Linked DNA regions of Arabidopsis thaliana. The protein of the gene in region 2 purifies or fractionates together with the protein of the main gene of each other region. This does not show direct contact. Each region holds a gene or a part of one and is shown on either strand. Other genes may lie near its edges.

Region 1 (4,187 bases), on a different chromosome or scaffold from region 2:
TGAAATTGGGGTTAGAACATGGCTGGCATGTGAAGGAAGAAGCTGGTGGTGGAGCGGAGGAGGAGGAAGATGCGGCGGAGGAAGACGGCGGCTGAGTTGAGCAAGAAAGGTGGGTGCTTGATGGGCAATTGACGCAGATGATACGAGCTTGTGGAGGAACGGCGTTGTCGAAGAGATTGAAACAAACAGAGCAAAAGTGTTCTCGGTACTCTTTGAGCAAACAATCGGTGCAGAGTCGCCGGAAAGCGCCGGTTTTGATGACGGTGTGGATGAACGACGGCTCTTTTTCACGGCAGACTATGCATTCGCGCTGTTTCTGTTCCGGATTCATGGCTAAGTCAACGAGATTGAGAACTCTCTCCCTCAACGGTAACCCTAAGCGAGAGAGAGAGAGAGAAAGATGAAAGAAGCGTTTGTGTTGTTCTCAGAATGTTGAAGATCTTGGGCTTGAAGAGACTTCAACGTATAATTCTATTGGGAGCTGAAAAAACTTATATAGAAGATTAAAAATTGGGTCTTGATTCTTGTTGAATTAAAAACAGAATCTTTTATTTTTTGTTAATACGAAGTGTATATATTTGGAAGATGAAAGGAAACATAATAATCTTGTGTTTTCCTCATTGCTTATTGCAAACTCTTAAGCATTGTGATATAACAAATGCGAGCAAGCCTAAATTCCTCTATTTAATCGTTTTCAAATCATACATCCAAACAACTAAAATAAGAAAAAGACAAATTCATCTGCAAAAAGCTTTAGCTCTGTGATTCCTTCACTTCCACAGCTTCTTTCTGGTCTCTAATCATTGTAAAAGCCCAAATAAAGATCAAGATCATGCTGTTTTCATCACTCTGCCAACATAAATGGGTCAACTTCTCCAAGATCTGCAACCAACGGTTCTAATTCTGATGGATCTTCATCTTCTGGAGCTAAGTAAGTTGGAAACGGAAGCTTTGAGATGTCTGGTTTCTTGCACCATGCATCTTTTATGAACACAAAGTTTCCTTCTGCACCAGGAACCTGCAACAACACCAAATCACAATCATGACCTACTAATAAGAGAAGAGAAATGGAGCTCATGTTTTGTGACAGACAGATCCTAGCCAAAGACTGGAACTGGGATTGAGATACTTACTTGTCCTCTCACCCACATGAGGTTCCTCGCAGGATCGATCTTGTAGACCCAAACGTTCTTTACTGTCCTCTGATCTGCACCCATTCTCCCAGCCATCTTTCTGCCCTTGAACACCTACTCAAGTGTATTTATCAAGTCAGTAGTGTCATTTGCTTTGGAGAAAAATTCCCAAGAATCTTAGCAATTTGACACATACCTTTCCAGGAGCATCTCTTTGCCCTGTGGAACCCCCGCTTCGATGGGACAATGAAGCACCATGTGATGCCGGCATTCCACTGAAACCATGTCTTTTCATGCATCCCTGCAAATTACACAGCAAAAGACATCAATAACACAGCCATTACTTTGCACAAACACTATTTCATCCGCACTCCATTCTATATATCTGCCACATTGTCACTAGACTATTCAACTTATCATCGCAAAGAAAAGATAAAACTTTAGAGCCCCTGAGAATGGTTTCACCTGAAAACCTTTTCCTCGAGTGATCCCAGTGACATCAACGTACTGTCCCGGAACAAAATGGCGGACACCGAGTGAAGTACCAACAGGAAGAAGAGCGTCTTCAGTCACAGGAAATTCCCTCAACTTCCTCTTTAACGGCACACCTTGTGCTCTGAAATGCCCCACCACAGCTTTTGACAAATGCTTCGGTTTCTTTTGCCCACATCCGATCTAACTAACAGAACAACACATGCCAATCAAATTACTAAACCATGAGCTTCATAAACCCACACATAAAGTTACAGCAATCGATTGATTGATCAAGTAACCACTAAGAGCCCTATCAATAAATCCAGGAGATACAAACTACATGGCCAAAATGGGAATGAGTAAACTGCGATGGAGTTACCTGTAACGCAAAAATGCCTTCTTTCTCAACAGTTTTAACCTGAGAGACGATATTATCATCAACCCAAAGAATAGAAATCGGAATCCTCTTTCCCCATTTGTCCCAGAGCGCAGTCATCCCACACTTAACCGCGATGATCCCAGTCCTCTTGGATCTACTAGACATCTCACCTTGTTTCGCCTCAATGATTCGGGTCTGAGCCCCGATAATATCAGATCCACCACCGTCCATCAACCCAGTATCGGAGCTGAATCGTCGGATGAGAAAGAAGCTACTACAATGAGGAAGAGATTCAGAGGATGAAGGAGTTATAGACCGTATTGATAGAAACTGATTGATTCGAGAAAGGAGGCCTCTCGGTACGGCCGCCATGATTTCGAATCGAAGCGACCTTCAATGGCTAAAGTCTAAACGAAGAAGGAGAGAGATGCAGAAACCAGAACTCTCAAGGCTTTTGCGTAGGGTTTTAGATGGGCGACAAAATGATAACCAAAGCCTCTATCTCAGAAAGAGAGTCTCAATATTATTTATTTCCCTCTTTTTATAATATGTGGACGATAATAAAAACAAAATCCTACGTGGCTTATCCATTGCGACATATAAAACAAAAACAAAACGGTACATGAAAATTTTGCCTCAATTTTCAAAATCAATCTCAAATTCTCAAATGTCTGTGATTCGTCCTTCTCCGATTCCAATTCCGAGATGCAGATCTCAGGTACTGCATCGTCGTCTTTATTCGATTCAATTGATTCAGCGACGACGTCGACGGTGGAATCCGAGGTCGGAGGTGGAGGATACTGCGATTGAATCGACGGCTCGGTCTCCGGAGGCAGCGGGAGGGAAAATGGTGGTGGAGCTTGTTGGAGCTTTCAACGAAGTAACGGAGAGGATGAATTCGGTTTGGTTGTCGACGTCTTCGTCTAGGTTACTCTTTAAAGCTCTCAAGCTCTCGATTCCGATTTTACAGTCTCTTCCTCTTGCCTCTGATGGTCGCTCTCCTCTTTCTAAGGCTCTCTCACTCTCTATCATTCTCGCAGATCTCCAGGTTTACTCTCGATCCTTGCATTTTTCACAGTTTCTTGTTTAGATGAATTAGGTTTTGTTGTTGATTCTGTGACGAAATTGAAGCATTAAGTTAGAACTAGAATCTGAGATTAAGTGAGTTCTGTGACATTGTTATTTGAAAAGCTCTATCAATTGATATTTGATAAATTATGTGGTAATGGTAGATGGATGCAGAAGTTATCTCGGCGAGTATATTGAGTGAGGTGGTGGACGCGAATGCGATATCTATATATGAAGTTAGAGACCATATTGGTACTGGAACTGCTCATCTGCTTCATGAGATTTTTCGTGTGAAGAATATTCCTTTTAAAGTTGATGTGTTAGACGATGAAACTGCTGCTTCATTGAGAAAGTTCTATTTAACCTACTATGACATCAGAGCTGTGATTATGGATTTGGTTTCAAAGCTTGATGAGATGAGGCATTTGGATCACTTGCCAAGGTATCGCCAGCAGATTCTCTCTCTTGAAGTGTTGAAGATTTATTCTCCTTTAGCTCATGCGGTGGGGGCTAATCACCTGTCACTTGAGCTCGAGGACATCTCTTTCCGTTATCTTTTTCCGTGTTCGTATATATACTTAGATTCATGGTTAAGAGGTCACGAGAACGGGTCTAAACCGTTGATAGACGTGTACAAAGAGCAGCTTCATCGGTCTTTGAAGGATGATTTGGTTTTGGCTGAAATGGTGAATGATGTATATATTAAAGGTCGGTATAAAAGTCGGTACAGCATGATGAAGAAGCTCCTAAGAGATGGGCGTAAACCGGAAGAAGTGAACGATGTGCTTGGTCTACGGGTCATATTAATGCCTAATTCTGTAGTAAACGATGTTGAAGTTGGCGAAAAAGCCTGTTACAGAACAAGTGAGATTATCCGGTCTTTGTGGAAGGAGATTCCGCATAGAACAAAAGACTACATTGCTAGGCCAAAGGAAAATGGGTATAGGAGTTTACACATGGCAGTTGATGTTAGCGACAGCGATCAGATAAGACCTTTGATGGAGATACAAATACGGACAATGGATATGGATGGATCCGCTAATGCTGGAACAGCATCACATTCTTTGTATAAAGGCGGTCTAACCGACCCAAAAGAGGTAAGCACTTCTGTGATTTTTTAGTTTGGCAAATTT
Region 2 (4,820 bases):
ATCCAAATGCAGATTCTTTTATGCTTTATCTTAAGTCATCTTCGCATTTTATTTTGGTCAAAAGAAAGTTAGAAGATAAGAGAAAGTTTTTGGGTCACACATACGAAAGAAACGTAAATGGCTTCTCATGCCTAATAGCGCTTTCTACGCTTGTGGGGTATTTGATTGGATATACGTCACAACTCATAATACGTAGTTGTTTACTAGCTTATCTGTACATGGACTCCACTTCTATATGATATATATAGAAATGCCACTAATATACGTACGTATCCACAATAAGAGAATTATAATGAATGTGAGATTGGTAAGTAGTATCACATAATTTAAGGGTGTGAAGGTTAATTAACGGTAGGTTGTTCTATATTATATATGGTTACTCACGTAAAGTTTTTAACAAAATATACAAATTTTAAAATGTATTACTTAACCAATCTCTGTTCTCATGAGAGTAGTTTCGCTTATTCAAACTGCTACCAAATATTATCTAGTAGCCTTTTCTAATTGGTATACAAATACAAATTACACGATGTGATAGACACTTTATTGTTTGTGCATACTACCTTTAGAGTAGGCACTAGCCAATCATGATAAAAATGGCAAATCTAAAAAATATTAAGCAACATGGTAAATATAAAAGATTTAGGTGACAAAACTGAAAACAGAAGAAAAAACTTACGTTTTAACAAGTGTTATTAAATGCTGGTTTTGGACTAAAAGAGGATATGGGTTTAATGAAAAAACTTAATTTTTAGGAAAAAAAAAAAGGTGGAATTTGAGTAGAATACAACAAAAAGTCTTAGAGTTTGATTGGTAACACAAAACTTTAGCTGTTACGGAATAATGTAAAACTGTACAAAAGAGCTGTAAAAAAAAATTGTATCAAAAAGCTGAGAGTAAAGCTTTTCGTAACGCTTTTGATAAAGTTTTTGTAAATGGTAATTGTCAAAGCTGTACAAACTGTACTGTTTTGATAATGGGTTACCATTCAAAGCTTTAAATTTTAAATCGCATGATAACCTGTAAATAATTATTTTGAATATATGTTAGACTTTATTATTATTGGTTAACTATGTTCTCTTGATTGAAAAAAAAATAGATTTGTAACTCATTGCTGTTTTTTTTTTTTAAGAAACAAATAGAGAACTATATAAAAATATAAGAAAACGTTGGTTTTGTCCAAGAAAAAAATTGTTGGGTTTTGGTGGGTGGCAATAGAAGATGCCATGTACATAGTGGGAACAAGTAGCCTTACGCCCATAACATGTCGGAACATCACCAATAAATTTCTATGTTCAAAAATATCATTGTAACAAAAAGTTTTTCGAATTTCTTCTCCCAACCCACCATAAAAACCCAATCAAATGCATGTGAATGTTCTTGTTCATTTGATGAGGTCAAGATCAAGAAGCCATGTAATCTAGAATACAACAGTACACATGTGACTTGTTACAGTTTTGAACTCTCGTTCACAGTTTTGCAAGTTCTTACCAAAGCTATAGATGCCTCTCATCCCATGAGCCTTCATCACCTGATGGGCTTATTAGGTTTACAGGCTTGACTAAACTCTAGAGCCTATACGTATAGAAGAGGCCTGACTAAACGAAGATAATGAAATAAGCCCACAAGGCCCAAATAATTAATATCTTTTATTCTTTTTGGCAAAATGAAAAATCTGACTTATGGGCTTTTTAACATTTACACATTTAACTTCATGACCCAATGAAGACCCGACCCGTCTGGTAATGACCCGATCCAACACATGAGTAAACCTTCACTGAAACCTCGAAACTCCTCCAGAAGCCTAAAACCTTCACCACCAAATCGGTGCCTCCTTGAATAGTCGCCGCCGTCGTCTATCATCGCCGCTTGTGACTCCGGTGAGTATTCTTCTGCTCTATTGAGTTTATTTTGGTTGAAGCTCTATGAGATGTACGTGGGTCTGGTTTTCATTTCTGTTTCTTAATCGCTCGAATTAGCATTTGATAGCTACTGAGATTTTGAGTTTTCTGATCTGCCGAATAATCTTCGCCATTGTAGTGTAGATGTTGTGTGCCTTTTGATTAGATTACACTGAGAAATTGGATTGTTTTCGTGTTTGTAGATGAGAAGCTAGGTTATTGAATCAGAGATTATGGCTGCTTCAATTTCAAGAAGGATTTTTCGCACTTTTGGATCCTTTTCAGCTCTAGGACGTTCCTCTTCACCAAGTATTATCTCATTTTCCAAGCTTCTTATAAAATATGTTTGTTTCCTGGATCTCTGATTGTTTCTCTCAACAGATTTGTCTGCGAATACATCTGGAAATGGTTTAGCTTCTCTTACTAATGATCTAAAGGTTGGTGTGTTTAGTTAATGTCACTTTCTCCTTTCCTTCATCTGCATATTATTGAGTTCTACTTACTACTACTTGAGTGGTCATCTTCCTGATTTTGAGATGTTGATTTCGTATTTGTTATCAATGCAGTATGGAATGGCTTTACTTTCCAACCGAAAGCTCTCCACTTCTATTTTGACTCCTGATGATTCATTTCCTTCTGATTTACTTACCAAAAAGACTGTGCTTACACCAGACCGAACCATAGGTACGTCTCTGTTTGGTCTACAAGCTGGTTTTCAAGCTAATTCCAACATCTGTATCTTTCATGTGCTTTGCTGAAAATTTTGTTCCTTTCCTGGAATCATGTTGGTGGAATGGAGAGTGAGTAGTTGTTGTGTTATAAAAATGCAGTTACTTTGTGTTTTCGGAGGAGTAAGAGTTTTTCAGGCCTTATTTAGCTTATTACTTGAAGGTTAACGCAGATTTGAGTACCATTTTTTCGCTCGTGTTTGACTCTGTTATGTTCTCGCTTTTATTGGTTATTGTGCTTGAGACATGATAAAATCTCTGATCAATGATATTTTCTCTTCTACTTTCTCTCTTTTAAAAACTTCTGGACATGTATTAACTGGTACTGTTATTGATACTTCTCATAGGACAATATCAAGACTTGGTCATTCCAGTGACTAATTTTCAGAACGAGGAAAAGGGTTTCATGGTTTTAGCAGGTGATGTCTTTGATGTTCCAATAAGGAAAGATATCATTCACAATGTCGTGCGATGGCAGCTTGCGAAACGCCAGCAGGTAATTAATTAGTTATCTCACAATGCCTTAATTTAGTCATATAAGCAAACAATCAATAAGTGTGACACATGTTGTTGATATTTAGGGAACTCATTCGACCAAAACGTTAAGTGAGGTTAGTGGAACTGGTAGAAAGCCATGGAATCAGAAGGGTACAGGTCGAGCTAGACATGGTACACTACGTGGTCCGCAGGTAAATCAGTGTTTGAATTTTAAGGTTTCTTGCCATCAAATATAGATCTCTGATTGAACTTTATTGAACCATTAGTTCCGAGGTGGTTGTGTAATGCATGGACCCAAACCAAGAAGCCATGCCATAAAAATGAATAAGCAGGTTCGACGGCTTGGACTGAAAATAGCATTGACAGCTCGAGCCGCAGAAGGAAAAGTCAGCTTCTTTCTCTTCTTAATCATAAAATGTACTCTTGATAACCGTGCCTTCTTATTAAACTGATCTAATTGTACCTGCTGAATGGGAAATTTATGCAGCTCCTCGTGTTTGATGATTTGGGATTGCCTACGCATAAAACAAAGAACATTGTGAACTATTACAACCAAATGGAGAACACAAAGAAAGTCCTTGTTGTAGAAGGTGGTCCTATTGATGAAAAGCTGAAGCTAGCCACCCAAAATCTACACTATGTCAACATAATTCCATCAATAGTAAGTTACATAATCACATATCAAACCTTGTGGTTTCTCGACTAATTGGTTAGCGAATCTTGAACTTTGTTTACGTAACACTTTGCAGGGGCTAAATGTTTACAGCATTCTGCTACACGATACGCTTCTGATGTCCCGTGATGCTGTGAATAAGATCGTTGAGCGTATGCACACTCCTATTAACCGTTGAAGAGACAACAATGTCTTAAAATGGCACTCTCAATAAGAATACTAGATCACAAGGAATCCCGCATGTAGTATCTGTACCGGTTCATTGTTTGTTAGCTTTTTGGTCTGGTTTTGCAACATAGAATGGTGAAGGATTGAGTTTTAAAATAATGAATGGTGATACTATTTCTATGTTTTTAGACATTCTTTTTTTACCGTTTTAAATATGACTTAGGCTTTCGTGTTTTTGAAAAGGCATTTTGATAGAAAATTTCTATGAAAAATGATTTGCCTCAAAAACTTATGACTCGAATGAACAATTATTATGCTTAATTATGATTTTCAAATGATAACATTATGTTTGAACTCTTATATGGGTTCTTCCCATGTTACAATACGTACCAGGGTGCTCTAAAATATCCAATTGGTCCCGATCTATATATGTATGTAGAGACTCTTCCTTGGATAGATATTTGGTGAATCCAAAAATAAAGTTTTACAAGAGATGACGAAACAAAGGATAGTAAAAGAAATCAGAATCTTGATTATTGAAATTTTTTAAAGACAGAATCAGCCTTTATAAAGAAACAATATTCTTTATTCATTTCCTTCCAAAATCTCTCTTCTTTAAGATGATCTACACAATTAAATACCGTCGATTTCGAAAATTGAAGTTTAAAATCAATATGAGGATTTGAAATAAGAGCTTACATGCACACACACATATCTCTCTATATATAAGTGAGTAGGTTTACATGGTTTAATTTTCTATAACACGACACACACGAAAAAGAGAAGCAAGCACAACACAATTTTTTTTATAACAACTAAAATGGCAAACAATATGGTCGCATCTCCTTATAA

Evidence for each region.
Region 1: the proteins of AT2G20060 (region 2) and RPL3P fractionate together in Arabidopsis thaliana (co-fractionation; one large-scale study listed by BioGRID). This does not show direct contact.

What each region holds. Positions count from the first base shown.
Region 1 is NC_003074.8:5,977,215-5,981,401, forward strand, and holds RPL3P (ribosomal protein L3 plastid), read right to left. Parts: upstream 2,481-4,187; 5' UTR 2,359-2,480; coding exon 1,987-2,358; intron 1,809-1,986; coding exon 1,599-1,808; intron 1,435-1,598; coding exon 1,330-1,434; intron 1,248-1,329; coding exon 1,134-1,247; intron 1,019-1,133; coding exon 845-1,018; 3' UTR 508-844; downstream 1-507. Other genes in the region: AT3G17460 (PHD finger family protein), read right to left, coding at 1-331; CRSH (Ca2+-activated RelA/spot-like protein), read left to right, coding at 2,609-3,034, 3,219-4,151.
Region 2 is NC_003071.7:8,657,250-8,662,069, forward strand, and holds AT2G20060 (Ribosomal protein L4/L1 family), read left to right. Parts: upstream 1-1,731; 5' UTR 1,732-1,880; intron 1,881-2,104; 5' UTR 2,105-2,134; coding exon 2,135-2,210; intron 2,211-2,282; coding exon 2,283-2,338; intron 2,339-2,467; coding exon 2,468-2,585; intron 2,586-2,976; coding exon 2,977-3,125; intron 3,126-3,210; coding exon 3,211-3,318; intron 3,319-3,393; coding exon 3,394-3,513; intron 3,514-3,614; coding exon 3,615-3,788; intron 3,789-3,876; coding exon 3,877-3,978; 3' UTR 3,979-4,309; downstream 4,310-4,820. Other genes in the region: AT2G20070 (defensin-like protein), read left to right, coding at 4,789-4,820.